Linked DNA regions of Oreochromis niloticus. The protein of the gene in region 2 purifies or fractionates together with the protein of the main gene of each other region. This does not show direct contact. Links are inferred from orthologs where the notes say so. Each region holds a gene or a part of one and is shown on either strand. Other genes may lie near its edges. The genes, in order: mlst8, rapamycin-insensitive companion of mTOR and prr5l.

Evidence for each region.
Region 1: the proteins of rapamycin-insensitive companion of mTOR (region 2) and mlst8 purify together in Homo sapiens (affinity purification with western blotting; 14 studies listed by BioGRID and IntAct, with this or other methods). This does not show direct contact. The link is inferred for Oreochromis niloticus from reciprocal best matches to the Homo sapiens genes RICTOR and MLST8.
Region 3: the proteins of rapamycin-insensitive companion of mTOR (region 2) and prr5l purify together in Homo sapiens (affinity purification with western blotting; 3 studies listed by BioGRID and IntAct, with this or other methods). This does not show direct contact. The link is inferred for Oreochromis niloticus from reciprocal best matches to the Homo sapiens genes RICTOR and PRR5L.

Annotation. Positions count from the first base shown.
Region 1 is NC_031973.2:21,210,104-21,220,540, reverse strand, and holds mlst8 (target of rapamycin complex subunit lst8), read right to left. Parts: upstream 4,085-10,437; 5' UTR 3,940-4,084; intron 3,763-3,939; 5' UTR 3,744-3,762; coding exon 3,615-3,743; intron 2,672-3,614; coding exon 2,620-2,671; intron 2,530-2,619; coding exon 2,367-2,529; intron 2,288-2,366; coding exon 2,212-2,287; intron 2,109-2,211; coding exon 1,956-2,108; intron 1,837-1,955; coding exon 1,712-1,836; intron 1,628-1,711; coding exon 1,464-1,627; intron 1,150-1,463; coding exon 1,031-1,149; 3' UTR 557-1,030; downstream 1-556. Other genes in the region: bricd5 (BRICHOS domain-containing protein 5), read left to right, coding at 73-167; voltage-dependent T-type calcium channel subunit alpha-1H, read left to right, coding at 7,010-7,146, 7,336-7,438, 8,453-8,589, 8,765-8,853, 10,004-10,163.
Region 2 is NC_031977.2:11,882,712-11,893,337, reverse strand, and holds the start of rapamycin-insensitive companion of mTOR, read right to left. Parts: upstream 4,207-10,626; 5' UTR 4,144-4,206; coding exon 4,095-4,143; intron 3,970-4,094; coding exon 3,922-3,969; intron 2,501-3,921; coding exon 2,403-2,500; intron 1-2,402. Other genes in the region: lg12h5orf34 (uncharacterized protein C5orf34 homolog), read right to left, coding at 7,083-7,261, 7,368-7,414, 7,500-7,597, 7,693-7,768, 7,857-7,948, 8,030-8,150, 9,183-9,275, 9,362-9,624 and 3 more. UniProt on the Homo sapiens protein: Component of the mechanistic target of rapamycin complex 2 (mTORC2), which transduces signals from growth factors to pathways involved in proliferation, cytoskeletal organization, lipogenesis and anabolic output.
Region 3 is NC_031972.2:39,237,094-39,246,995, reverse strand, and holds the start of prr5l (proline-rich protein 5-like), read left to right. Parts: upstream 1-5,114; 5' UTR 5,115-5,386; intron 5,387-9,902. UniProt on the Homo sapiens protein: Associates with the mTORC2 complex that regulates cellular processes including survival and organization of the cytoskeleton.

The DNA.
Region 1 (10,437 bases), on a different chromosome or scaffold from region 2:
ATTTGTTTTCAAGTGACACTTTAATCTAAATTTGTATTTTTTAATGAGTCACATGACCTCTCATTTTCTCAGGCCCAGGCAAACAGAGGTTGGTCTACTTCTGCATCGACATCTGCTTCCCCAGCAACATCTGCGTGTCCGTGTGCTTCTACTACCTTCCAGAGTGACTCTGCATTCTCTCGATCCTCCCGGCAAAAGATCAGGGAAACAAAGTTGTCTCTTTTCTTTTTGTTTTTGGCTCCCTCTTCAAGAACAAAAGCGAGCTTTGACTGTTTCCTTTGTGCCATACAGCCACCAGTAAACCATTTTCTTCCTTCCGAGAAAGAAGTGAGCTGGAGACAGGCTGTCACATTTATCGCCAAATCCCCATCATCACTCTCTTCATGTATAATTCCCTCTCTGGTGGCACGCTTCACAGATTAAAGAAGAAAGAACCCCCGCCCCCCGTTTTTTTGTTGTAAATGCCTCTAACTGTATGTCCTGTAACGGACTGCTGTGTGTAACCGTTCCTGTTACAATGTGACTGTTTTGTTCTGAGAATAAAAGACACAACCTGTTGGGTATAAAGACATTTCTGTACACCGTTTATTCAGCAGTCCTCCTCCACATAATGAAGAACAGAACAGCTATTCAAATAAATCATACATAGCACATGTAAGAGATTAGACAAGTCTGCTGCACATACAAAGCACCTGTGATTAATGTGGTCTTTTTTACAATAAATATAGCGCTCTGTAAAAACAGAGTTTTGCAATTTGAATAAAAAAACAAACAAACTATTATGTCTGCCTCGTCATTGACAGATTTCTTTCTGTACGTCTGTGGAAACAAAATAAGTCCATTAAAACAGATTTTAACTTTACAGATTTTTATTTTGGCTGTGTCACTCTGCGCATATGCCAGAGATGGCCACTGTGCCCGCTTCCTCAAGTCGATCACTGTACTGGCGCTGACATACGTGACATGAGTGGCACCCTCATAAGAGTCTTTAGTTCCTGTCTGACAACCTTTTATCTCCTCCTTCTGCTTCTCAGCCGAGCACGCTGTCATTAAAGGCCAGACACACCACGGCCTTCTGGTGGCCGCTGTATTCCCTTTTGATCTCACCAGTTTCCACGCACCACAGGCGAGCCAGGTTATCTGAGGAGGCTGTGGAGTGAGTGAAAAAATAGAATTAAAACAAAGCAATGTCCAGCCTTACATGGAAGTGTCTAAAAGTTATCATAATCTGAGAGCAAACTTAAAGCCATGTTTCATTTTTAAACCCCTTTTACATCATGGCAGATGTAATGGCAGGGCAGGGGTTAGTGTGACAAATCAAGACAAAATCAGAAAATGAGATGTCCTTTTTATCTTACAAACAGCCACATTTCAAATCTGCAGCCCTCAGATAGATTGCAGTGTTTTACTTGAACAATTCTTATTCAGTTTTGAGATCTGTTGCAGTGTGCTGCTGTATGGACCTGTAACAATATACTGCGAGTCTCCGGAGAAGGCGCAGTCCCACATCCAGCCTCTGGATGTTTCTCCCGGATTATTGCTCTTGATGCTGAGCTCTGTCATCAGTGAGAAATTGGACGTCCTCCAGATCTTACACGTCTGGTCTGCCGAGCAGGTGGCCAGCAGCCTGGAGGCGACGACGAATGCAAAATGTCAAGTTGTATTTTTGGTGGGGAAATGAGGGGGAAATTGGAGAAAAAGGTTCACTCACGTGGAATCGGGGCTGAACTTGCAGCGGAGGGAATAGCGTTTGTGCGCAGGGATCTTGGTTTTGGGAATGAGCTGAGTCACTTCATCCCCGATGCCTCCAGCGAGGTTCCACACGTAACAGTTTCCCTTTAAAAGAGAGCCGGGCAAAAAAAAAAAAAAAAGGTTTTCAATAATATAACACGATATAAAACAGTGAATTTATTAACCTGCGCCACATATGCTGCAGATTTTTTTAAGCATCTGACCGAGCTGTTGACTGCTGCCATGTAACTCGCATCTGGGTCAATGTGAACTGAGTTGATTGAGACCTCCGGCTCTGGAATCAGCTGCTCATTATGGTCTGTCTTCAGATCCCAGATATGGATCACTCCACTCTGGTCTCCAACTATAAGCTCTGCCTAAAAAAACATAATGAAATCTTCGGCATTAAGTGCAAATGCTCCAGATAGTAACCAAGAGCACAGCCTCACCTGATTCATCTGTGTGTACTGAGTGTCTCACCTGGTTAGGATGCAAGCACACACAGTTGATTGGAGCGTTTACTTGGAAGATCCTCTGACACTGCAGATTTCTTGACCTACAAGGTAGAGCAGGGATCAGAGTTTAGTTTGCTGATCATTAAATAAACAAAGACCAGTGAGCTTGTCCTTCAGTACCTCAGGTCCCATATGCGAGCCATGCAGTCCTCTCCTCCTGTGTACATCCAGCGTCCATCTTCGTGGAAGCCCACAGACGTGATGTTCTTGCTAACTCCATCGTAGTTGATGACCGGGTTGGGGTTGTTGGAGTTCAAGTCGTACATGCGGATATGCTGATAACCTTGAAAGCAGAATGCAAACATTACTATGAAGCAAAGTAACATTAAGGTGAGAAATGAGAAAAAGGATTGTGGGGAAAATTGTAACCAACCTGCGGCTGCAATCATACTTCTGTCAGGTGTGACCTCGAGTGAATTTACTTGCTGAGAGTAAATGTTAAGGAAGTGGACAATGTAGGTTGCTGCTATATTTTACAGCTCATCAAATTTAAACTGCTAGGTAAGGTCAGGGTACTGTCAGGTGGACAGATGACATCAGAAAGGAGTCTCTGTGGACTATGATGTTCACAGACAAGATTTTGATCTGTAGTGAAAGCAGGCACCAGGTGGAAGAGTGTCTGGAGAGAGGAGGAATGAAAGTCATGAGAGAGAGACAGGCGTAACAGTCAAGATAGTCCACAAGAGAGGTGACAAGAGTGAGCAGGCAGACTGGAGAATGTGGGGATGAGTGTCAGAAGGATAGCAGCAAGAATGAAAGGGAAGGTTTGTAAGATGGAAGTGACACCTGCTATGATGTGTGGTTTGGTGACGGTGACAGTGACAAAAAGATACGGGACAGAGCTGGATGTGGCAGAAATGAAGATTTCAAGATTCATTCGGAGTAAAGAGAGTGGTTTGGAGACAGGTTAGAGGCAAGGCTGAGATGGTCTGGACCTATGCAGAGGAGAGACAGTGTAAATGAGACCTGTGAAGTGTGAATATGGAGCTGCCAGGCAGGAGGAAAACAGTATGACCACAGAAGAGATTCTTGGATGTAGTGAAGAAGGACATGCAGAGGGTTGGTGTGACAAAAGAGTGTGAGATGAAGGCAATTACCCACTTCAGCGAACCCTAAAGGGTTTATAGAACATCTATAAACAAATAGAAAACACAGAACTAAAACAAAAGCACTTTTTGCGTTCACGTGGATTTTTGTGAGAAGCTTGTTTTCTTTTGTTGCCTTGAAGAGAACCCCCCCCCCCCCATAGACAACATCTGATTAACTTTGAACTTTAAACCTGAGATTTATAAATGGTCATAACCTATAATTATTCAAACATGACAGTACACATTCTGCGTAAGCCTCCATATATCAGGGTAAGGATACTGAGTCCTGGTGCTGGACCGTCCTGGTGCAGATCCCGCTGTGGGCCTGCCAGAAGCGGACAGTGTGGTCGTATCCAGCCGTGGCCAGAATGACCGGGTCGCTGCCCACCGTCCCCTGATTCACATTCATGACGAACTCCTGGCGGATACTGCAGGGAAATTCAATTTGCAACAATTAAAGTAAAACACAAAACACAGCTAAAGCACAAAAAAGGGTTAAACTGTGAACGTATCATAAGCTAACTTTAGCAAGAGAGGCTAGCCAAACTTATAGTCTATGCAATAAACAATAAACGCTTCTAGTATGAAACCATTAGACCCCTTACCTATAACTACACAGCAGTACTACCGTTTTAAAAGGACAAATTTCTTTAGTTCCCCTTTGTTGTTGTTAGTGTTGAAGCCAGCCAAGAAGTACGTCTCCTTAACGCGTCCCTTAGAAACATAATAGTGTTTCAAGAGTTCCGGTTCAATCACTAGATCAGTACCGCCCTCTGCTGGTGTGTCCACGAGGAATAGACATGCTGCAATTAAATACAATGATTTTCAAAGAAGTGTATACCAATAATTCATAATATTAATTAAGACTAATCGTATTTCATTATGTAATATTGCAACATCTTTTAATTTCAGCTTTATTAGCATCGTCTGAAAAGTTGCTTGTGTCAATATGGCGATATCTCAGTCCTAATAGTCAGTACCAAAGTAAAAGAAAGTAAATAATAGAAAGTTGAAAAATGCCATTGAGTCAATAGGATTTAAGATGATCGCTTCTATCACTGTAGCCTGTGTTATTCTAAGTACTACTAAACTTTTCGTACATTTCAAATGGCAAGGGTTGAATAGAAACATAGAAACATAGCTGGATGTATAGAAACGTGCCAATATGGATACAGTATTGTTGCTTAACTAATAAGGGGTTTTTTTTTCGGTATATAAAAAATTACACTCCAACCTCGTGACATCATCCTCTGTCTGTACAACCAGTTTCTAGAACCGCTCAGAAAAACCTCACAAATACTGTACTCAGTACCACGATCAACACTAGTTCTAACAGGTATTAAACACATCTAGTATCAACTTGACAGTTATGGAAGACTCATTATTAACAATGTAAAAACAAAAATGAAACAAAAACTATTGCAAAATGATATAAAACTAAAGACATCATAAATCAAAAATCATCATGGTATATTGTCCCCTAATAGTTTCATATATGATCTACTGTCTGAAATGCACTGATGTACAAAATATAAAATTATAAAGATTGAATTAAGATTGATCATTATCTAAAAAAAACAACATAAAACAACAACATAAAAACTCAGGTGATTAAAAAAAATAAACATGAGGCACAATCAATATGATTACTATTTGTTTTTGTCCTAGTTTAGTATTTATTCCTAATTTTGTGTCATTTTTTGGTGTTTCTTTGGGGCAGATCAGGTTAGAAAAGTGTTGCCAGTTAAGCAACATTTTGTACAAAAAGTCTAGGTGCTGTGCTTAAGCTTCAGTCTCCACCTTTTCGGCCAGAACTTAATGATTAAAATATTAGCTTCAACACACCCGCTATCAATAGTTTCTTGGGCCCACATTAAAATATTATAAGATAAATTTTAAGAATAAAAAAACTTAAAGGGATGAAATTACTGTTTAATAAAACAGTTTGCTCTTCATCGTCAACATCCGGTTTCAGGATGGTTGCTGTTGGTTACAGCTTCACATCAGAGTTTGGCTCATTTACCTTTGATTGGCCAAAGTCAAGGTGAAGAGGAGAATTTACAATCAGAAACCTGTGAGTCTGTTTGGGGGAAAAATGTAACTTGAGTATTTTCGAAAATGTAAAAATGAACATTTTCAGAGTTAAGTGTAATAAAGTGGTTTTAAATTTCTTTAAAATAAATTGTAGTAGCATAATTAGGTACAGAAATGTCCTCAAAGCATTGTTGGATTTTCTTTTGACTGATTGATTGATTGAGCTAAATTAGGAAATGGTTTTCCAAGTTTTACTTTTGTATGTTTACTTCTGTCTGCTGAACCTGAGGATAACATGTTTGCAAACTGTTAAATATTTCTGTCTCCAGTGCCTATAGTTATTATCTAAAAGAGGCTAGTTAGTTAGCTAGCTAATGCCATACGCAACTCTTTTATCCAAAACCAGTTAGCTAATCCAACCAAACTTTCATAAGTAGAAAACAAATGGAGAGTTTATGATTGTGTGCCGCCTATTCATGTTTATGACAGTGTCATGCTAACAGCCCCATCATGTAGCCTCCAATGACTGTAGCTTTAGGCTAATGCGAAGTCACTAAAACATTAGCATGTTGCCTAAATAAGGTACACTCAACGTTAATGTGTTGAGTCACTGCTCTTCCGGACTACAACTTAAAACAGTGAAAAGTTGTCAATTCATTTCAGTGAGAATTACAATAATTTTCTTTTGTTTACCTTTATTTGACAGCTTTCCTAACTCATTGGTTCTGTTTTTGTTATATTTCCAATTATTAATATAATTAATTAATTCTCCATCTAACACACTGTAAACACTGTAATAGTTACACCCTTTTTGCACATGCTCTTTTCTTCTCAATAATATTCCTGTCAACATTCTTGATATTTATTTATAATCACCTCTGTCAATCCTTGATATTTATTATTGAGTGATTTGTATATATTGTGCTGTTTCTTAAATTTGTAAATCTGCGACATATTGTATTGTTAAATAGTCTAGTCTGTTTCTGTTACTGTATTGGAGCAAATGTAACCCACATAATTTCCTTAGGGATTAATAAAATATACTGATTCTGATTCTGACTGATTAACCTGTTTTGCAAGGATCCTTGCAAATGGCTGTGCGCTATTTTATCTACTCTGTATTCTACATTATAATCAATACAGATCCTTTTGGCCACTGGATAAGCGGAAGCGAATGGATGGATGGAAGTTTTTACCTGGATGATATATAAAAGTCACTTTAACAGAAACTGATTGCAGATATGTTTGAGAGCAACAGTTTCTGAAATACTCAGACCTGCTCCTCTAGGGTCAACAATTAGCCACATTCAAAGTCACTTAAATTCCCCTTTGTTCTCTGTTATGATGATCAGTTTAAATTTCAGCAGTTATTTTTGACCATGCTTGCATGACTAAATGCACTGAATTGCTGCCATGTGATTCTCTGATTAGGTATTTGACTTAAGGAGCAGTTGAACAGGTGTAATGAAATGTATCCAAACATTTAACAGAAAAAATCCATATATAGCCAACTCTATTAGTGTGGGACTGCTTAACTTTTTTATGCAAGAAAAGGAAGTTGTTTCTCCAAATAGATCTGTATATCATGGTTTTCTTTGCCCCTTTTTCCTGACCTCTCTCAGATGCGTTTCTGGTTTCATTATGCATGAAATCCATGATAGACATAGAGGCGTCGTTGTAGAGGAGCAGCTTCCCTTCCCAGAGGTAGTGCCTGTGTGCTTCGGACTAAAGCAGACGAGTAGACCCCGCAAATGGTTCCTCAAAATAGTCTCTGGCCCATATCCTTTCTGTACTGAATGAAGTAAGAATGTCATTAACACAATTTCAAACCTTTTTTTAAAATTTTTTATAGGTTTTTTTTCTTGTATACCACTCAATATGTCCACATTAAACACTTTTAGTACGAAAGCTTCCTTTGTTGCTGATAAATTTTATGAATGTGTTTGGACCTTAACCTCTTCTTCTACATGGTTGGATTATTTGTCCATACTGGTGGTCCTGCTCAGCTGCGTGAATGACGGCATGTACCAGCCTTGTGTAGAGGCGAAAGAGGAGAGCTTCACCCGAGAGGTTATTATAATGAGCTGAGCATCAGAAGAAGAGACTAGCAGACTAGAAGTGCTTATCACTGTGCAGAAAAAATTATGCATCTTCATTTTCATCATCTTTGGCTGGCGGTTCTAGTTCTGTAGAAAAAAAATAGTCCTTAAATGAACTATTTATAACACAATTTGTTGATGTTTTTCAGGGGAGGGCCATAATTTCGGGAATCATGAATATTCTGCTAATATTTCTACAGCTGAACTTCAAATCATAGCAATTTAGATGAAGATGGCACAACAGGCCCAACAGAAAGTATACAGATGTACAACATGCGAACTGTCCCTTTAAGGACTAACAATAAGCTGTAGTTTATAACACACTTCGTAAACGCTCTCATTTGTTAGTCCTATAATGTTCTAGTGTAATCTTGATTCTTGGCTTCACGATGAAAAATCCCAAAGTGCTTTGTCAAGGACATGTTTTAAGTTTAAAATGTGAGTTTTTGTACCATATATGATACTAACAGTGTTAGTCCTACACTTAATATTTCAATTCTGCAGCTGCTTTTTAAATGTTCTTCTTTAAAAACTGACAGGATTACTCACATCATTTAAAGGATTTGTTGGTTTGTCTTATTTGTGGCCAAAAACAGATTTAACACAGAAAGAGAGAATTTTGAATAACATACATGTATTTAATTTTCACCTATTTCTGTTGAATGACTTTAATTAAAATGGTCATCTCTTTTTTCTTAACCTGACATAAGTCAGCATTAACTTTGTCAGAACAGTCACTTAACAATATGTCATCTTAAAGAGGAGGTAACTTATTGCAATAAGTCACATTAAACAGTAAAATCTTGTAGGAATGGATCAGAGCCCATAACCAGACCCTCAGGCCCCTTACAAGCTCAGATGCAGCATCTGGATATAGTATGTTATATCTGTGCTACTGCTGTTATTACCAGTGATTGTATGTTAACAGTATGCCTTGTATGTTTTGATATTTGATATGATGATGTTTTTCGTTCTCTGTATACAGATTTTGGGTTCTCTCGTCTTTCTTTACTTCATCATGGAAACGCTCATTAAGACAATAGCCCTGGGATTCATCGGCCATAAAGGAAGCTACCTGAGCAGCCACTGGAACAAGTTTGACCTTTTCATCATCTTTGCAGAGTTAGCATCCATGTGTCTGTATCTATGTGTCTCTAGAATTTAGTTTCAGTTTAAAAACCTTTGCAGAGGAATTCCAAAAAGATGCAGTTTTAGATTATTGGAAGGCACGCTTATTTTTATGAATGAAAGAAAGTAAAACTCACCTTCTTGTTTGTGTCTGTAACTGCCACCTCAGGCTAATGGATTATACGTTTGGATTCTTTAATCTCCACGTAGAAGCGTCTCATGCCATCAAGCCAATGAGACTAATCAGCCGAGTACCAAGTAAGTTGATATTTACAGAGTTTGAAGAGAACAGAGGCCTGATGATTGTCATTATTTAGATTAGTGTGGTTATTTTGAATGTACACTACATTGTTTAGACTGGAGGGCTAAACAAGGAAAGTTTTAAAGGGCAGGCGAGCATGTGGCATGGTCATCCAAGTTTGTGAATTTGATAACTCAAGCACAAAGTGATGTATGAGTTTCAGTACATCACCTATGATATCATAGGTGTATTTACTAAAAATCTTGGACTAATTCAAATCTCAGTGACCTTGACCTCAGGCTCAAGTTTTCTGAAAATATTGTGATTGTGATAATTCGAGAACAAGGTGACGTAAGATTTTGTAATTGAATCCATAGGTGTGTCTACTGGGAGGTTGAGGGGTAGCAGTGTTTTTTCAGATCTAGTTTAAAATGTTGAACCACTCCAGTTAAACAACAGTAACAAAGAATTTTGCTCCACAGGTTGTTTATTTCTAACTGAATACGGGGAATAAAGGTATTTGCTAATTTATATGTGATCATAAAGGGGAAATGTAATATTTCATCACTGCATTGTAACCATTGTGACAAATCTCCATGAAGTATACAACGTCAATAAAATATCTTTTAAATATTTAAGATTTCACAGTAAGTAAGTAATTAAATTCTGAGACATTCGTGACATTTTTCGTTGAACCTTTTCAAAACACAAACTGTAATAAGAAATTAGTGAAATTTGTCACTTTCTGATTTATTTGGGATTGTCCAGGAAATGTGAGTTTGCAGAAGATCAAATAGTTATTTCACTCAGTGTCATGCAAATCAGTTTAGACCTTTTGTTTCTTCAGGATTTTTGGTTAATTTTCTGTCTCTCTCCAGTAAAATGAAATAACCATAAGACCATAGAGAGCAAACTTACAATTTCAGGAGGGGATCAAATAATTATTCCCCCAGTGTATGGATTCATTGTTTGGTCATCATCAAGTCATATGGAATGCAGTAATTGAGTTTCTGTTAAGTTTTTTACCGTGATTTATACAATTACACAGTACCTGCTGGATCCAAGGAGAAGGGTTTTATTCCAGACTTACAAAACAAATTAAAGTTTTCAGAGAGAGTCTAACTATTATTCATGTAAGCTTAATTTTCCTGCTGCTCATTCGTGTAGGTATGCGGATATTGGTGACAATACTCCTTGAAACGGCCCCCATGCTTGGTAATGTTCTCATCCTCTACGCGTTTGTCATCCACATCTTCGGAGTCATTGGAGTTCAGATGTGGGCGGGGAAGTTGCGCAACCGCTGCTTCCTGGGAGAGGACATCCTGACGTATGTAAACTGCTTCATCTGCTCTTCTAAGACTTTAAGTTTTTTTCTTTTTCAGTACAAGCTTCTAACAAACTTTAACCAATTAAATAATCCAACTCTCTGCCTATAGCAAATAATGTCTTTATGTATTAAATTTATCAAATGCCTTCCATCCATTTTCTTCTGCCTATCGGGGGCAGGGTCGTGGGTGCAACAGCCTAAGCATAAAACCCAAACCTCCCACTCCCCAGCTTATCCAGTGGAACACCATCTGACAGATGTAATCTCTCCAGTT
Region 2 (10,626 bases):
TAAAATACGGTTGCAGTACTTGTAACTATTAAATCAAAGAGAGAGTGGGAGACAGAGTAATTTAAAAAAAAATGTAGCCAAACAAACAAACAAACAAACAAACAAACAAAAAAAACAGTTATAAGAGATCGATCACTTCTTCCTTTTTACTGCAGAAAGATGGCCTTGTGGGCCCTTTATGTGGGGTGTGAATGAATCTGTTGTCACTGTGTAAGAGGTAACATTGCCAGCACAAAGCCACAGCAATTGCGAAGTATAAGCCAGAAGGGTATTCAAATGACTGAAATCAGCTATAAAGTGTCAGCCCCATGTTTCTATGTAATCATCATCCAAATCTTATGTGGAGTGTTTACATCTCCCTAACAACTGTAGAGCTGCACACAACAACTAGTGAGAATGTGAACTCTAATCAATATTTTACATATTTAATGTTCCAAATAGGGTAACACCGTTCTTAGAGGTACACTGAGGCTTCTTCACACAACAAGTCAATGCTCCTCCATCACAGTTGTCTATTCTGCCATGTGTCTCCTAATGAAAGTGAACCACTGTAGTACTTTTGGTTTGAACTGTTCCTCAAAGTTGAGCATAAATTTCTTAAAGCACAGCAGAGCATGAGGCAAGACGGAGCAGGGTGGGATGGGTGACGAGAGGCAAGAAGGAGTATGGGGTTGTTTTAAAACAGCTGTGATGTCAGAGCCCAAACAGGCAAACGAGGGGAGAGGAGATGGGGACAGGGTGCACGTGATGCTCTCCGGGGGGGTGGGGGATTAGCTCACCCTCACTGTCCTGGAACCCTTATAAGGAATCAGAGTCATGGTGCTCTAATGGGACATACACACACACATACACACACACACACATCATGGCTATAACCCTCCAGTCAGTTGTAAACAAGAGAGTTAGGTGTACAGATTACAGGCACACAAACCCATGCTCTCACTCAGCCTCGAGCCTGCTCCAGTGCCAGCTGCACAGTTGTAGGAGGGCCAGTACTCACTTGCCGCACAGCCACCAACAATTGTTTACAATACGCTTATGACCGGCAGTCAGAAGTGGTCTGAGGCAGTGGGGTGAAAGAGGAAATCGGGATATGGCTATGATCAGGACTCTCCTGTAAACATGTGCATGGACAACTGCGGACACCGCAGACCAGTAGTTGTTCTGATAATACTGCTTTTTAGTTAGCTTCCTTAAAATACTGCACATCACTGTCTTTGCACACAGACACAGACAGTCCTGTCACAACAAAGTGAAGAGCAGACAAATACCTGCACTCAGATGACAAACTTTATACCAATTTGACCCCAGCGTAGGTGCAGACGGAGAGTGTGAAACTGTGGTAAATTAGACAGTTGTGCACATGGTTTTGACTCTTTTTTTCCCACCTGAGGTGACAGTCAGCAAGGCCAGTGTGCTCAAGGCACAAGAAAGTGCTAGTTTTCTATCTCACGCTCATCTCGCAATCATTAACTCATTTTCTCCACCCCTGTTATTCCTGTTCAAAATAACAGGAAGGAGACTACTCCAGCATGTTTTGGGTTGACAGGAGAAAAACACCCTGGAGAGGTCACTAGTCCTGACCAACAGGGCTGACCTGAATGATGAGCGAAAACACTAAAACAGATTTTTTTTAATGAGCAAGAAACTTAAATTTCATACTCTTTTTTTATTATTATTGCAGTCAGTCTGCAGTCAGCTGAGACTGAAGAAGACACTTAGATGAGTGACGAAACGTTTCTCAAACTGAAAACGCTACGTCCAGATGAACAGAACAAACTTTTGGGGATATTATTGCTATTATTCATCTCTGTATCAGTAACATTTACTGCTGTTAAGTGAATCAGAGCAGTTATACTGCATGGTCAAAACAATTTAAAACTTGTATGGGCTCACATGTGTTACAATCCATGTTAGCATATTTGTGTTTTAAGCCTTGCTAAACTGAAAATCCTCCTAAATCCTCTGTTTTTTTATCATTCACATTAAAAACCAGAAGAGAAAAAATGACTAAAATAATCTTTTCTTCTTCTTTTTTTTTAACAAATCAAAGTCTCAGGTCCATACAAACAATAACTAGACACTATTAATCTCAGATTTCAAAGTCTGAGCACTGCTCCACATGCACATTAGACTGGAGTGCTCTCCTATCCCTCGAGCTCCTGTTATATTCACTGTCAGCATCACAGTGACAGGCACAACTAGGCCTGCTGGCATCAACACCCAAGAGGAAAAGATCAAGGAGAGGTCAGTGGTGACACTACAGAGGAGGAGCAGCTAATCAATCTTGTGAGAGATCTGAACCAAGTGAACCCTCTCAAAAAGCTACATGTCTCACAACATTTCAGCAAGGCAAAACTGTCTTTAAATGAGGCAAAATTATCAGAGCTTGACAGCGTTACCTTTATGAAGTTGTTCAGGTGGCCCAGTTTTCGCATGTTACTGACTCCGTGCGGTTTGGCCACATTTTGAAGGATTTCACGGAAGTTTTCTGACGGTTCTGAAGGAGAATGAAAAGGAAATACAATGTAACTAAGGGAGGCGTTAAGCCATATTGCCATAATAATATCAGTCAATGAACCGTAATAGATATCCTGCAGGAAGGAAGTTGGTTTAGCTGGAACTAATGTAGAGTGTACAATCAAAACAAAGGCTAGACATTAAAAAAGCAAGACCTGAGCGGGAAGTGTTTTTGTTTTCAGTTCCTTTCAACTATCCTACGCTAAATGTTTTGACAAACGGGAACCGCATTTTAAAACAGAATCGTCTAAGCGTGGTCGACGCCTTAACGCCCGCTTTGCGTGGGATGACTTCCACATATTGCCCTGCAAGACAAATGTAAACATCGCACAAACTAGGAAAACACCAGCTTAATGAGCTGCTCAGATCACTTTCTCCTCAACAACCAAGCGCAGCAGATGATAAGCCTGATTCCACTGCAGCTTGTCAAAAAGTAATAGCTATCGGTATTAGTCATCAGTCTCACTGCTCCAAACACTGCACTCAATCCATCGCTCAAAAGTGGAAATGAGAAAAATGCCAGACCAAAGGGTTACTTTGGTAACAAGCATTTGTAAACATCACGAGCCAATCTTACAGTAAGTTATGAATACATCACATTTTAATTGATGCCACAGTGATTACATGAAATTAGTATGCACATTTGTTATTTCATCATTTTCAACCTCTGGGAACTGACATACTTTAGTTTTCCCCAGTTTTGGTACTGTCAGGAAGAACATGTAAATAGTGTAAATCGCACTGAAGCAGCTGATAGGTTAAGTGTATTGACTCTCCTGTGGTGAAGATTTTAATGTTGTCAGTCATACATTTTTAGGTGAGCGTGTCTCTAGTTGACACGATTGTAACGAATCTAGCAGGGATCTGGGCCTCCAGGACTGAGACACTGCTGCTCCGTGTAAACAAACTGCTATGCAGTGTTGATGCTGGAGGAGTAAATCTGACAAGTTGTGCAGCTGTGTTATCAGTGCTCCTCTGGAAGATCCACCGTGTGCTGCCTCAATGCTTCTCGGCGCACAGCTTTCAGACTCAATTCCCCCAGCCAGTTAGCGATGACAAATGCATGACTGCAACTCTTATGGCTACTTGGCTAAATAACAGGCTATCGTGCCCACTCACGCCGATCAAAATAACAGAGCGTCTTCATGGCTGGTTAGCTGCAGCTAGCTAACGCTAACTCAGCTAGTTAAGTTAGCTCGTTGCCGCCTGTTGTTATGACATCGATAGCGACGTTTTTAGACCAAACAGTGAGGGAAAATGGCGAAATAACAACAGCAGTGATGGGTCAAGCGCGTACACTGTCTAGACTTTCACCACGCGGGGCTAGCGTTTGCAGATATCGCCCTCATCCATTTTGAACAATAATCGCTTTCAGGGTGATGTGATGAAGCCTCTGCTTACCTCTGCTCAGATCCAGCGGTACGTTCTCCTCCCCGCTGTCATTCCGACCTGTCAAAAACACACACCGCGGACACGCCGAGACATTACTCCAAGGTCATCGCGTGCGTGACAAAATCATATTTTGCAATATCCTGCTTTTACAGCAGCCGCTGAATCGAGGTTTTTGTGCTTACCTCGCATCCGAAGACTCCGGATAGGACGGCCGCGGAAGCTGGCCGCCATGTTTCCAGGAACATACACAACACCGGAAACTTCGCGGGTTATCGCGAGACAGCAGACAAGAGAGGGACCGCAACAGATCCACAACAGACCTAAGATCAGCTGGATCCTCCTTAATATCCCTCTAATCGTATGAGGGATAAAGCATAAATCTGACCTGGCGACTGTGTTAGGGTTAGCAAAGGGGGATCTCATTCAAGAGCTAAATTTCTATCACAAATATTATCATTTCAAGTAAAGTTAAATTTTCACTTGCCTTATCCATTCGTTTTTTATTGTTTAAGTATATTCTTCTTCTTCTTCCTTTTTCTATTATTAATATTATTACTATTATTATTATTATTATTATGCATACATTTAACATGGGTTTTGACTGAAAAATACTTTCAATAAGTCATGTCTATGAGTGGCTCCAACTCGAACTTTCACAGACATTTCACAGTTATAACTGAAGACTTCACAGTTTTCACGCATAAAGCCTGTCACTAAACATTTAAAGTAGTTTATTCTGTTTTTTAAAAAATGTAATTTTAATGACTATCTAATGTGCAAGTTGTTATTATGCAGTTATTATTATTAATTATTTTTTGGTAAATATCAAAAGTAAATAATATCAAAAGTAAAATGTCATATTACAGCACAACTTCTTGTTAGTTTGTTTTTCTGCCGTTTTACTAAAGGCAAAACAGGTATTCGTTGGAGAAAAGAATAATAATAACAATGAATGACTATAATGTTCAGCTTTTCAGGTCTTAAAATCTGCAATAACCATCTTGCACACTTGGTGTCACCCATACATAACAATGAACATTTTGTCAATCTCTGGGAATGGACCGAAATGTGGCTTCACCAATTGAAATAAATAGACACTCTCTGAGTACAGGCGTATTTTGTCTGTTTGCAAATTAATTTCAACTAACACCTGAATGCATGAAAGAAAGTGACTTTTTCTCTTACTCTCTAATAGCAATGACTCTACATACTGATTCTGATCTCGACTCAATTTAATAGCCCAGTCTGAAAAGGACAGGAGTATTGTACAACCTTCACAATCAAGCTAATCAGGAAAAAAAAGTTAACAGTATGGAAGTAGCTTATAGCAGGCCTATTATATTTACATTAACATCAATAACATTAATGTATTCATATTTTAAAATTAATATGAATAATTTTTTACTAATAAACAGCCTAAAGGACATAGAAACAGCTGACTAAGTCACTGAAAATAGAGAAAGTGTACAGTCACATGAGAAAGAGATATGATAGGCAACTTTATAAGTTACATTTGCGCGCTGAGCACATCAGCTAGTGCCCTGGAATCATCGTAGATACAAAGTTATACAGTAGGCAATGGCTCTGTGATTCTTTCTCTTCTTTTAAATCCTCATGGGTTGTAATGAGAGATTTTATATTAATCTTTCCCATACTCTATGAGCTTACTGAATGTATTAGGTAGATCATTCTGATATTCTGCTAGTGTACATGATTGGCAATTCAGGGGCTTTAAAATGTGTCAATAGTCACTCACTCAAAAAAAAAAAAAAAATCTTCAGCCATAAACTATTTAGTTGTTTTGACTCACTGGGGCAATGGCAGCTGCTGTCTCCACTGGATGATAACAGAGACTGTAAAACCTCTCTCTGCCTGTTGATTACAGTGTAAACACAATGTGCTGCATAGTTCACCGAGTTCTTAGTTTAATGCAACCAAAGTTTATGGTTACAAGGGAACACAGATCTGGAAAATAGACTGAAAGCTATTCACCACCTGACATTAAATGAACTGCAAAGAAGATTCAGATGCTTGCTATTACTGCATCTATCAGTTCGGTCATTTAAAGAAGTTCAGTTTCTTGAACTTAAAACCATGTTTTGGATTACTGACTACCTGACAGAGAGACTGTAGTGCCTGGGACTGAGCAGAGCTCTGTCTGATTAGGTGATGCGCAGCACTGGAGCTTCACAGAGGACTGCACGGTCTCCATTCCTGTTCACCTTTTGAGTTGTACAGATTTTCAGTACAACTTCAGGTCATAGCACCTATAGAAACGCTGATGATTCTGCACTGCTCTGACAGGAGAAGCACTGGAGAGTTGTCTCATCAGAGCAATCTGAATATGCTTTATTTTGAAAGTCTGATCCCTACACTAAACCCAAAAATAGATTCCTTTTGAAGTTTATTATATGGGATCTGCTAGAGCCCTGATTTTCCTTCCTGCTGTGATCTAATGCCCTCCTGATGATAGAACGCCATCTGGGACATTGAGCTGACCACCCCAGTCAGGAGAGCCAGCATAAACGATATCTTTTCTGCTGTTTTCTCTGAGACATGTTGTAACCTCAATACAAACAATTCTTTGCCAATGTCAATGTTTGAAGATGAGAACTACAAACAAACTGCATACTGCATCTGTTAAAACGGCAAGGATTCTGGCTGGGTGCTGAAGTGGCCTGGCTGCATTCCAAACCTTCCACTAGCTGAAAACATTTGGCGCAACATGAAATCAAAAATACAACAATGAACACCCTGGACTGCTGAGCCGCTCAAATCCTCTATCAAACAACAATGGGACACCATTCCTCACCCAAAAGTCCATCAATTGGTCTCCTCACTTCCCAGATGGTTATGGGCTGTGGTTAAGAGAACAAAGGATGCTACACAGCAGTTATAAGATGTTTTGCTGCCATCAAATTTAAAATAAATCTTTTCCCCCCTTAAAATGTTACAATGTCTCAATTGAAACATTTGATTATGTTCCATTATGAATAAATTGTGTCCCAACTTTTCTGGGGTTGTTAAATAGACTAAAATATTAAAAGTCTATGCAACCCCATTACATAGTAATACATACTTTATTAAAGTATAATTCCACACAGTTTTATTATATTTTTTATTGAGACAAACACACAAATATGGCTTCCTGCTTAAACATAAGGATTCTTTTAAGTTAGTGTGGCTGCAGATACGAGAGCGTCAATATCCTGAATTGCTTTGGATGTCCTTTGAAGAGCTTCAGCAACATAGTTGTCATTTAATGGCTCACGAGTGACGTCTGCAGGACTTTCCTCCTCATCTGCATGTGCTTTTCCACTTTTTAGCACGTGGCTGTTCTCCAGCAGAACTGGGCAAAGGATGTTAAAGAGCACAGAGAGACAGCCTCAATACAGACAATACAGACATTAGTTTAAAGCATCCCTTTGTATCTTGATCCCAGTGCTGAAGGATACAGCTAAATCGCTTTATCTTCTCAAGCTCTGCAGCAACGAGCTCTGATCTAAAATGAACAGTACACACAAGCTGTTAACACCTTTAATTTTATAACAAAATATCGACAGAGTGACCAGAAAAACACAACTTACAAACTGCCTGCTTCCTCTGTCACACTCATGCGTTGCTCAGCAGGCACAGCAATGGGCACCTTTTCTTCAAACGCTGTTGGTTTACAAAAATATCCATCCTGCAAACAGAAAGAGATTCAGTAACTGGCAGTGCACAAGCTTAAATGGTGGATAAAGTGTAGGTATCCACAGGTGTATCAGGAGGTACTACTACTTCGAGATCTTGCAAGCAGCTGGGTAAGGCTGGACACTTCAGTGACTGCATGGCCTGGTTGTAGCAAGCCAGGATCCTGTAAAACAGTTATGCGATGGGTGGAGACTGGAAAAAATTAAAAGTCCTTTAACTCACCAGACTGTGATGAAGAGGGGGCAGCTTACCTGCTTGCACGACTCACAATAGAGCAAACAGAGTAGGCCTGTCCAAGCACATCAGGTGGAAGGCTGTTTAAATGGTAGGTTACCTCTTTGACCTGTGGTAAAGATTGGCTAAATTTGTAAGATTATTTTTAAAATGTATTGGTTAAATTTTATAATAAGAGGTTAAAGTTTACCAGCCCTGACTGGAGTTCAGTTTTGTGATGCGTAAAATAAGAGTTAAGGTTGCGGTTAGAGCGGATGACTGATCCATCCCCTGGGGAAACCTCAACAGCTGAGACAGGTCCACTCAGTATCCTACACAGCAGACATGAAGGTAAGCACACTATTCTAGTGTAGATTTATAGACCATCTCCCACACTCTATACTGTAAAACAATGATTTTTTTATCATGAGTATGAAAATTGAAGATTTCAGAGATCCTTTCAGCTTTGGTGTTAGACTGGATCAACAGGAAGGATGCTTCTGGTCTGATTTATTGTTTTGCTTTCAGGCAACTGATGAGGCACAGAGGACTTGAAAAATGACAGCTATATGTTGTCAGGACTATTTTTAATAAATAAATACATTTAAGCACTTTTCTGGTATTTTCAAAGCGAATCTTCAAGTCTTAAAGATGTTAAATAAATAAATAATTGTACAGATATACACTCAAATTAATAACAGATAAAAAGTCTATCCAGAGGGTAATAAACAGCACAAAGTGACAGTGACTGTGTTCGTCACTCTCCTGGAAGAGATTGCAAAAACAAGATACTACTCAAAACACTAAAGAGAGCTCTCATCTTGGATTTTTTTTACCTGTTGCCCTCAAGTAGACGTTTTGATTAACAATTACATCTCCTTCAATCAAATCAAGGAGATTTGGTGCTAAATGCTTAAAAGCCTACTATACCAAACCTACTGTAGAACAGAAGATGTTTTGGTATTATCTAGGTAACATCACATGATATAATGCAAAGTGATCTATTTATACCATTTCAAGCCCTTTGGAGCCTCACACACTCAGGCCTCAGGGTAAAGATTCTGGGCTAACAACATAAACATTAGCGACATCTGAATGACCCATAAGCTGTCAAACAACACAATAACAACAGAGTTTCTCTCTGGTTGATCCAATCTAACATCAACCATCATTCAGAGGTTTTTTTTTTGTTTGTTTGTTTTTTGTAACAGTGGCCTTAAGAGATCAAATGCATTGCCACTTAAGAAAACACCAACAAATAGAAACATTCCGCAAAAGTTAAGTTAGTTAAGTTTTCTTAACTTGCAGTGCGTTTGACCTTTCAGGGCCACCACACTTTATACCCTGAAGACCTGCAAAGTTACCTGTAAGTGACTCCCTGACACCACACTACCTTTACCATCTCAGTTGGAAGGTCTGTGTGTTCTTCTTTGGCCAGGGGATCTTTAACCTTCCACCTTAAATACACAAATAAGGAAGCCTACATCAGCCACTGAACAATATTGAAATGGTTTACAAAATGCTTGTTTTTAAATCTACAAACCTGTGCCGATGAGGCGTTGGACACGTGAGAGGCAGCGCCTGAGGAACATGGGACCTTCTGTCTTCACAGGATATGTCCAATTTGTTTATTGTCTTGTCTGATTGGTTGGAACTCCTAGCTCCTCTATCCACTACATCTTTAGCTTTAGAGAAACGAGCTGCCCAGTGATGGCGAGCCAAGGAAAGAGGGTAGGCCCATATGGGAGCAACCGCACAGCATGAGTGATGCTGGACCACTGTGGTGGACTGGTACACCTGTTCAGGCTGGAAAGAGAAGAAAAATCAGTCATCCTATCAGACTTTAGACACACTGGCGTTATTATTAGAAGGAAGTACTACCTTTTGGTGTCCATCGCTGATCATCTGAGGAGAACAAGACCTCGGTCTGGTCAGCATCGTCCTCATGTTTCTTCTTCCGTGCCGGACCACTTCGGTGTGATCACTGGTATTATCGGGGACTGGACTGCTCGCTTGCTCTTGTCTGTCGTAGCTATCATCTTTGCTCATTTGCTGCATGCTGCGGTGCTGATTTCGAGCAGAACTGAGGCTGCACATGAACTCCACTGTGAATTCTTCACCGGAAGGTGACAGCACCAACGCAGCTCGTCCCTCCTCCGACCTGACGATGATCTCGCCTCCAAGTCCAAATTCAGCCAGAGAGGCTGACACCTCTGGCCAAAGTACAGCTGAATCAATGCTGAAAAAAGGCTGTATGAGGAAGTGCAGAACATAGAGAGAGAGAGTAATGAGACTGCCCACATAGTCTAAGGAAGTACCACAGTGACTAGCAACCAGCTCTTTATACCTTTTTGTTCTCAGCAGAAATAAGTTCATGTGGCAGATATGGTTGACCGGCATACTTATTTCTAAATGCCAGTGCAGCCAACATCAGCTTCTGTAATAAAAACAAGTGACGTAATCACGTTGAACAAAGTCAGATTAAGGCAACACGAGAGGCACAAAAGCAATTCAGTTGTTTTTATAGAAACCCTCATACGTAGTGCCGATACCTTGTATGTGCTGATGGTGAACCTGGTCCTCTGTCGGACTTTCTCAGCGGGCTGCAGTGGATGTCGGCGGGGGTCTGCGGCTTTCACCAGCAAGAATTCAGAGCCGCACGGCGAGAGCTGTAACCGCGCTCCGTTCCTATACCGGATATCCACCGACTCATCCTCGTACATGATCATCAACACAGCACTCTCGTCGGTTTCCATCGTGAAACGGAGCCCGGGGCTGCGACCGCGCCGATAATCAAAACACTATGAC
Region 3 (9,902 bases), on a different chromosome or scaffold from region 2:
TAGTAGCGGTTTCTTAGCAGCTATTTGGCCATAAAGGCCTGATTCACACAGTCTCCTCTGAACAGTTGATGTAGAGATGAGTGCTACTGGAACTCTGTGTGACATTTATCTGAGCTCTAATCTGAGGTGCTGTTAAGTTATGATTTCTGAAGCTGGTGACTCAGATAAATTTATCCTCAGCAGCAGAGGTGACTGGGGCGGTCCGCATGTGAGCCAGTTTCTTCGTAGCGCTTGATGGTTTTTGAATGTGTCCCCAAGTGCAGTCGCAAAGTTTTAACAATTTTTCTGACTGACTGACCTTCAGTTCTTATCCTCCTGAGACCCAAACTCTTTCATAGCATGCATTTTTAATTTCTCTTTGCTATTTGGGCTGATTGGGACCTGATGAATGTAAAAACAAAGAATTACCAGATTTTTTTATTTTTTTTTTTAACCTGAATTTTGTTTCTAAGAAAAATGAGATCCACATATGAGGACATTTGTTTGAAATTTTGATAGAACAGTGGCAGTATAATGTCCTCGTAAGTGGATATCAGGCCCTTGAAGAGCAAAATTTAGTATTTTGGTTTAGACATCCCAAAATGTGATGTCCACATATGTGGACGCCAGGTCCTAGGAGTTTAAAGTAATGATGGGCTGTCGTTTCTCTTTACTTAGCTGTTTAAAATAAAAGACATATTTAGAGTTATTTATCATTTTTTTTCCTTTGCTACATAATTCAATATATTCATTTAGCTTCATATATTTGATGTCTTCAGTTTGTATCTACAAGGTAGAAAGTAATAAAAATACAGAAAAACCATTAAATGAGAAGGTGTCCAGACTTTGACTGGTAGTGTATCCCAACATACCTCGTCTGTGTTCGTGCAACAGCGTTAATGTTGCTTGAGGGACAGGATCCACATTTCTGAAGGATTTCTTAAACTAGTACTGTGGTTTCCATTTAAACTTTGAAACAGACATTACAAACACATTAAACACTGACAAACATAATAAAACACTACATTTCTGACCTTTTCACCTCAACACACCTCATCTGTGTGACTGTGCAACAGCACACGTTACTTCTGGTAACGTGTGATATGCTACAAAGCACTTTTGGTTTGTTTTCAAACACAGAAAAACATTTCTGACATTTCTACCTTGACACACCCTTTAGACAGGGGGTTGCATCATCCCTGCACGTCAGAATGAAAGGGCCATTGTCCACGATTATCATAGCACACCTCTGGTTGTGGTTTTGGTTGTGAGGGTCTTGTGGTGTAGCATTCCTTCTGTGGTGGTGGAAAGCTGAATGATGGTTAGACAACTCTTGATGCTGGCTTGTTGACTTGGTTCATACTGTGGACCAGAGCCAGGCAGAACCTTTTGAGAGCCATCGGTTTCTGGTTTCAGTACAAGTCTGTGTTGTAAACCAGCCAGGAATTCACAATGCACAAGTCAAGGATGTATTCAAACGGTGAAATGTACCATCTGCTCGACTTGACTGGGGTCCTATGCAGGTGTACTAGCATGTAAAAAAAAAAATAAAAAAAAATCAATTCCTCCCATAGCTCATTATATGCAGGGATGAGTGATGGGCGTGGAATGATGATCTTTGCTCCACTGACCGAACGAGGCACGATCCCACAGGCGTTTTCTCAGAAGGTTCATCCATTTGTGGTTGAACCATTTTACTATAATCAGACCTTTTGAATCTACGCTTTTTTTTGTAACAAGTAGGCTCAGATGTTATTAGCAACTTATTATAATCATTTCCTTTTCTGTTCAAAAGATTGGTCCAATATGTCCTAAACTACAGGACCAAAAAAAGTCATTAAAGCACCATTCCTTAATATTTGGCGTTATTATCATGGGTGAGACTCAGAAACTTCTGGGCGATTTCATTTGGTTTAAAGCTCAGAAGAAAAAGGACAATTTAGCCATAACTCACATTTGCTGAGCAAGAAACGTCTAGGATGCAAACTGCTGATGTGATGTCCGTCCTGGTCAAACTGCTGCAAAAGGCTGAGAGACTGAGTATAATGTAATTAAAAACAGAATGCAACAATTTACAAATCTATTAAACCCAAAGATACAAAATGTTAAAACTGAGAAAGATATTTATAAAGATGTTGGCCACACATCTTAAAAATCGGTTGGGTCAAGTCTTCATCACCAAGAATCTTCTATGAAGCAATGCTGTTATAATAGATGTAGTGTACAGTTAAAATAACGTCTTTGGTTAAAAAGATATGATCTGGATGAGAACTTATGTTGCTCTAAAGCCTTTATATACCTTTCAGAATTGATGGTACATTTTCAAATGAGCAAGCTGCCATGTCTACAGGTTTGACAAACATAGTAAAGCTCAGAGATGCAGGCTTTTAAGTGAGCACTAATAACACTGGGTGGTCTTTGTCTTCTTTAGTCCAGAGAACAGGGAATGTTTTCTTCCAAATTAATTTTTTTTTTCTCACACAATTTGTGTATGCGAAATAATCCCAAAATGCAACAGTACATTCTGCCAATTGGCAAAAAAATAAAAGAAACAAATCACACACATAAACCCTATAGTCATATTGTATATGCATATAGTGGTGTATTTAGGGCTCTTTAAGTGTTTAATGGAAGTGTAAAAATTATATACAATGCAGTTAATTTACCATTTAGTACACTTGAGGTGTAAAAGTATTATTTTAGGCATTTAATGAGTGAACATCATTTTAAATAAGTCTTTGATTCTTATTGGTCAACGACAGATATTTATTTGTACTTCTTGTAGTTATCCAGCAGATGGGGATGTTTGTCCCTTTAAGATGTTCATACCCCACATCCGGAGTTTCACCAACTTTCTGACCTCCTCTTTGGCTAAAGTGATGTCCAGTGTGGCCTAAACCTGACCCAGTACCTTCTGTGTGCTGCAGCCATGGACACAGTAAGTTACTGTACAAACAGCTGAAAAACAAGTAAGCCAGTTCTGATGTCAGACCTTAGAAACATTAGAAATCCGGTCATCATACTATTTTTGTCATGTGGCCTTCAGTCCCATGTTGGCTCCCAAGGATGGGAATGTGAGAACAGCAAGGTCTCAGTTAAACGTATGTTCCAAGCAGGATTTGTGACATCATCACTATAGTAGTAATTAAGTCTCAAGTCTGTCCATAGATACTCTACGGTTTTTCTGAATGGTTATTAATATTTATCTAATACTACTTTTGCTAATGCTGCTGTATAGCATCTTAGTCCTGCTAACTACATTCATAACTACAGTCAAGATCCTAAACAAACAGTCTTTAATGCTTATATTTAGTAATATGTCCAATATTATTTTAAAAAAAAATCACACAGTACTGCTCAAAACACAACAAAACAAAAAACAGGCACAAAACACTGAAAATAATATCTTCCTGTTGCTATTATTAGAAAACATTATCCTGACCCATCATGCAACCTTTTTTTGGCAATCCTTGCCACAGCAGGAATACTGAGTTCCTGAGCTGTGGAAGTAGCTGAAGCAAAAACTCCGGTGTGGTATTATATCTGTGAGGCCACTGAACGTGACTTTCAGTTGGCCTCGATGTAATTCTGGCAAACCCTCAGGAAACTTAGTAGGAGAACTCTGCTCATACTGTGTACAGTGGAAGTGGGGTGCTGCAGACTTCTACTGAGGATATAACCGATCATGGAGGGATCCCCTCAATCCTACTAATACGTCTTCTGTAGAAGAACCATAGTCAGAGGATGAGGGAGATAATTTGTTCATCACTGGGGGTGAGCTAATTGAGGCAGTGAAGCAACCCCTTGGTGGCAGGTCCCCTTGGGTGGATAAACTCTGCCCTGAACACCTTAAGGCTCTGGATGTTGTGGGCCTGTTGTCTGTATGGATGCTGTCTGTCTGTTAGTCAAATCTTTGTAGACATGCATCTGCAACATTTCGTGGTGATCTGGGACGGTGCCTCTGGATTGGCAGACTGGGGTGGCGAGCCCTATCTTTATGAAGAGCTACCGTAGGTTGAGAGGCAGGTAACACCCTGGACCCAGGTCGCCAGTGTGGTGCAGCCAAATACTGCATACCAGCACAAACATTGAAACAGTGGACAGGTCTCCAGCCTCTACCAGGGCCAGCACACACTGGGGCTATGCTGAAATGTGAATATACAAAGTCAAAAATTAACAATCATACTTAAAACATGCTGTAAAGAAATTTCAGACAATTTAAAACTGAAACTCAGAACATAATCCGCTCTTGATGTTCTAGTTTTATTCTCTCAGTAGAAGACTTGGTGCTATTAAAGGGGTTCAGAGTAAAGATTAATTCTAAAAACAAAATTCAAACATTGTCTGTGTACAAGTTTGATATGAGGTCATCAAGGACAGTGTAGGTTTCAGTAGGCCGTGATTTCATACCTATTGATCCTTATCTGGAATCTAAACTGCTCCAGAGAAAGTTAAGGTCACAACATAAGTTACCATACCTATATATCCTGGTAAGAAGTTACCACTGGCATAGTACAGAAAGCCCAGGGTTAACCTGGATGAGCCAGAATGCTGCTTTGTACTATAGCCTTCTGACTTCAACATAATTGAGATACTGTGGCTGTGTATTAACAAAAGCCTACAAACCTCAATTAACTGAAGCAACATTGTGAAGAAGAATATGCCAAAAGTCCTCCACAATAACGTGAGAGACTGATAAAGTCATACAGAAAATTATTGCTCCAAGTTATTGCTGCTAAACATGTTTTTTAAGCTACTGAATCATAAACTATGCTTGCTTTAGAAATGGTTATGTGTTCTAAGAATTTTAAAAAGTAATAGTGAGCACTTTTATTCTTATATTGCTTTCTAATTAGCCTAATAATTTAATGTAAATCACAGAATCAGGCCTAAAGGTCTTCTGAAAAAGGCAATTAATAATCCAAGACTATATTATATATAGAATTATATAGAGGTTTAACTATATACCTTTGCATATCTCTGCCTTGTGCAACGTGTTTTCTGCGAATAAACTGTGTAAAAAGTGTTGTGAGGTTGTACTGTGAATCCATTCCACCACAAAACTTAATTTCTAACAACTTCGACTTTTATTTTGAAGGTCACGCATGGCAGCGTCGGTTGCAGCCGGTACTGCAGCCTGTTGAATGGAGGCAGCGGGAAGAGGCAGTTGTTCTCACTTCCAGTTATCAGAGAACCTGTGTGAACTCCGTTTCTCAGTATGAGTTCTTAAGCGGAGGAAGTGTTTGTTTTTTTTAGAACGGAAACCCAAGCGATGCGCACACACAGCTGCCGCTGATAACAAGAAGCGGCACTCCGCTTTCAGCTGCACATCTTATTGAGTCGCCAAAAGACAGCGGCTGTGTTTATTTCTCAGAGCAGCAGCAAAAGGTGAAGCGAGTTTGCAGAGGTGAGTCCACGCACGAATACCACGAGGCTTACATCCTGTCAAGATGTTCACGCAGAACAGCGGCTAAACTCTGTGGCGTGTTTCTTTTTCTTTTACTGTGTTTTTGTGACCGGACGCATTTCATATCCTCTCGAGCTGGAATTCAGTAAAAAGTAACTTACGAAGAAGAGATCCTTTAAAATAGAAGTGAAAACCCCCTTTTTAGGTCAAATAGATACAGCCCACTGAAAAGGGGAGAGTGCAGATACCTGCTGGTAGTTACGTGTGTGGAATGACCCATAAAACTTCATGTAAATAGGTATGCAGTCACAGACGGGTGGCCCTACACTCAGTTCAGCTCTATAGTTACATGTAATGACTCTGGGCAGGCGTCGTGGGTCTTATACCAGTAATTCTGTGTGCCAGCTTAAAGCGTAAGATCGATAACTGCACCGCATACTAACCCAGTGTTTGTTTTTCGATCGGTAGATTTATTTATAACTGTCATTGTTGTGTTGGTATATACGTTTTTAACCGCTCGTGAGGCGATTTTTCTTGATACCAGTTGTATTTGTCAATGACATGAAGCGATGGAGGAAACAGTAATACGTTATTTCATTCTTAGAACACAATAGCAGATTTGAGAAGTCATTATGATCTTACTTATGGCCGATTAGACTTCTCAGAGCATTATTTAATGATCTTATTGTTGCAGCTCTAGATAGACTGAGTAATTTTTAAGTGCACTTATGTGAATTCCTCAAGTATCTGGGGATCGACCTGTCAGTAGAGACCCACAGTTGGTTTTTTTTAGGATGCCAAGATAACTTTACCAAGTTAGGCCTATAAATAGCTCACAGTTTGCAGATGTCAAGCAAGTGACTACTGTCACCTGTTACTTTGTAACCAGAATTGTTTAACACAATGTAACTTCAAAGTAAAAGAAAATAATGTTGTGCGTGTATAATATGGCCAGAGAGGTAAGAGGGCCATTTATGGGGCAAGGATCAGCAGAGGCAGACTGATGCTTGGCCTTGCAGTGTGGTGGTAGTCTGTAGGTAGTATACAGAGCTTTGTAGATCCTGTTACTTTTTACTGTCTGACTGACAGGATATTGGTACAGGGAGAACTCACTTGGCTATTGGTTGCTTGGAGAAATTCCAGTTTGACAAATGCCCTCGTGGGTTTTTGCAGACTCTGTACTGTCCACTGTTACTCTTCAGTTTATTACATTAGGATTAGGGGCTCACTAATTGGCACTTGCCCGATTTCTTTCTATTTTTTTTTTTTTTTAATTCAAAGGGCACTGACGAACAGCCCTCAGCCAGTGTCTCCCAAAGTATAAAATACTTTCTGTCTAGCATGAAAGTCTGTGAACAGTTGAATGTAATTACAAATTTGTCATCAGAGATTACAATGATTTGTTTGTTAGAATTTCAAACACCATAAAACTACCAGAGCTGATTAGAGTGTGGCACCAGATGTCTTTAATATTGAACCTTTTCACAATATTCTACTTTTCTGAGATACTAAATTTCATTAGTTGTCAGTTATAATCATCAAAATAAATAAATAAATAAATAAATAAACACTTAAAATATATCAGTCTGTGTGGAATAATTGTATACATTATACAAGTTTCACTTTTTGAATGGAATTAATGAAATTAATCTACTTTTTAATGATATTCTAATTATATGACCAGCACCTGTATTTTAAAATTGACCCCACAGTTATCTTTTACAGAATAAGAAACTCAATTTAATGAAGTATTGTAAAGTACAGCAATCATAGTACCATAAATTAAGCTTCAGTCTACATCCCTGCAATTCATCAAGCCTGAAACCAAAGAGTTAAATCTGCTCTGCATTTAACGCTTTGCTCTCTTTTCTTGGATTGGTACTCCATACTCTGGACTAACAGCCCTCATATTAGACAGGTGTTTCTAGACAATCTGTCCACAGCTGTTATTTGCATTAATTTCTATATGGTCAAAATGAAGTCATTGGGGGTTATAAGTATTAAGATTTTTAATTTGTTTTTTCCTTTTTATCCCACAAACCCCCAAATTTGCTTTATGATGATAAAACCATTTTAGGAAAAGTTATAAGAGATAATGGTGTTTTAATTTAAGCTACGTGACATTTAAAATGCAATAGGTTCAAAATGACCCCCATTGGTGTTATACAGTCCCGATCAAAAGTTTAAGACCACTTGAAAAATGGCAAAAAATCATATTTTGCATGTTTGGATCTTAACAAGGTCCCAAGTAGAGTTTCAACATGCAACAAGAAGAAATGGGAGTGAGACAAAACCTTTTTTGAGCATGCAATTTATTGAAAACAACGCTTAAACTGAAACAGGCTGTTTTACAGCTGATCAAAAGTTTAGGACCACACCTTCAAAAAAAAAAAAACCCTTAAACCACCCACAAAACAGAAATCAAAGTTCCAAACATGAACTCAGAAATGAGTAGCTCCACCGTTATTGTTGATCATTTTAAATATTTGTTGCGGTGTGCTTGATGCAAGTGTTTCTATGAGGTGAGTGGGAACATTTCTCCAAGTGGTGAAGACGGCTGGAAGAAGGGCATCTGCTGTCTGGAACTGTTGTCCATTTTTGTAAACTTCCCTTGCCATCCATCCCCAAAGGTTCTCAGTGGGATTTAGATCAGGGGACCATGCAGGACGGTCCAAAAGAGTGATGTTATTCTCCTGGAAGTAGTCCCTTGTCCTGCAGGCATTGTGTACTGTAGTGTTGTCCTGTTGAAAAACCCAGTCGTTACCACACAGACGAGGGCCCTCAGTCATGAGGGATGCTCTCTGCAATAGCCAGCGGCGGTTTGACACACTTTTACCTCCTGAAGGTCCATTGTTCTACTGAAGGAAAAAGAACCCCAGACCATTAGGTCTGAGGATCGTCCAGTGTCTTGATGGACAACCGATAGGGTCCTCTGGTTCAGTGCTGGTGACATTTTTTGGGGTTTTCCACTTGACTTTTTTGTTCCACAACACTCAGGATCATTTAAGAAATTCCAAATGACTGTCTTACTGCGTCCCACCTCAGCAGCGATGGCGTGCTGCGAGAGACCCTGCTTATGCAGTTCAACAACCCGACCACATTCAAAAAGGGAACTTTTTTGTGCCTTTGCCATCAAAACATTATGACAGTGTGACTCCCTGACAGAAAATGACAAAGAATCAACATTTTTGCACAGATTTGGCCTTTTAAAAGCATGTGGTTCTAAACTTTTCATCAGCTATAAAACAGCCTGTTTCAGTTTAAGCGTTGTTTCCAATAAATTGCATGCTCAAAAAAGGTTTTGTCTCACTCGCATTTCTTCTTGTTGCCTGTTGGAGCGCTATTTGCAACTTTGTTGAGATCCAACCATGCAAAATATCTTCTTTTTTTTTTGTTGCCATTTTTCAAGTGGTCTTAAACTTTTGATCAGAACTATAATATGATATTGAAGTTATGTTTCCTACAAATGAATTAATTTATACAAGGCATATTTCAATAAAAGCATACCTATATTGAGCAAATATATTCTATAGGAATGTGTTTTACCTGCCTAAGAAGATCTGTGATATCAGGCAGATATGTGGTTCTTCTCTAAGTATCGGTGCAATCTACTTCCACATTCACTGCATGTAGTTGGGGGAATTCCCTCAAACTGTATCTACAAAGGCTGCAGTGTTATGACTGTAAAAAGTGGAACATGTAGCTTACTTACATGAAGTTAATTTACCTGTTTTATTTACAACTGGAGCACTGACTGAATAATGTTTACACATTAAAAGCAAAGCCAATTGGCCACTCTAAAAGTCAACAAATTCCATACGGTATATTTATTTGTATATATAATAAAACACTTTAAGAATTAGAGCAAGAGAATTATCTCATAGTAAGTTAATCAGATAGTTGTCCCAAATTGGGGAAAAAAAGGAAGGCAGATCACAAAACAAACTGGGTTGCCCTTTAATATACTACACATTTTTCTGTGGTATATTTTCTGTGCTTCTGATAACTTGACATGATATTTTCATTGCTAATTAGAGGTGGTATGGTAGACTGTCACTGCTTATTTCTATTTACTGGCAGATGTTGTGAAGCTTCGGTTAAGGAGTTTAAGAGATCTGTAACAGATTTTTAACACAAATAAATGTTACTCTGCTAATTTAAAACTGTATTTATGTTACAGACGGGAAGGAGTGATAATGTTTTTCGGTCTAGCTCCAACATTAACGTTATATATTGTCTCTTCATTGGCTCCAGATTCAAATTTAAAATCCTACTCCTCACATACAAGGTCTGAATAGCCAGGACCAATCTTATCTCAGAGACATAGTACCATATCTCCCCAGTAGAGCACTTCGCTCTCAGACTGCAGGCTTACTTGTTGTTCCTAAGATAGTTTAAAGCAGTATAGAAGGCAATGCCTTCAGCTTTCAGGCCCCTCTTCGGTGGAACCAGCTCGCAGATTTGATTATGTGACAAGTTACCTCTATGCCTTTTAAGATTAGGCTTAAACTTTCGT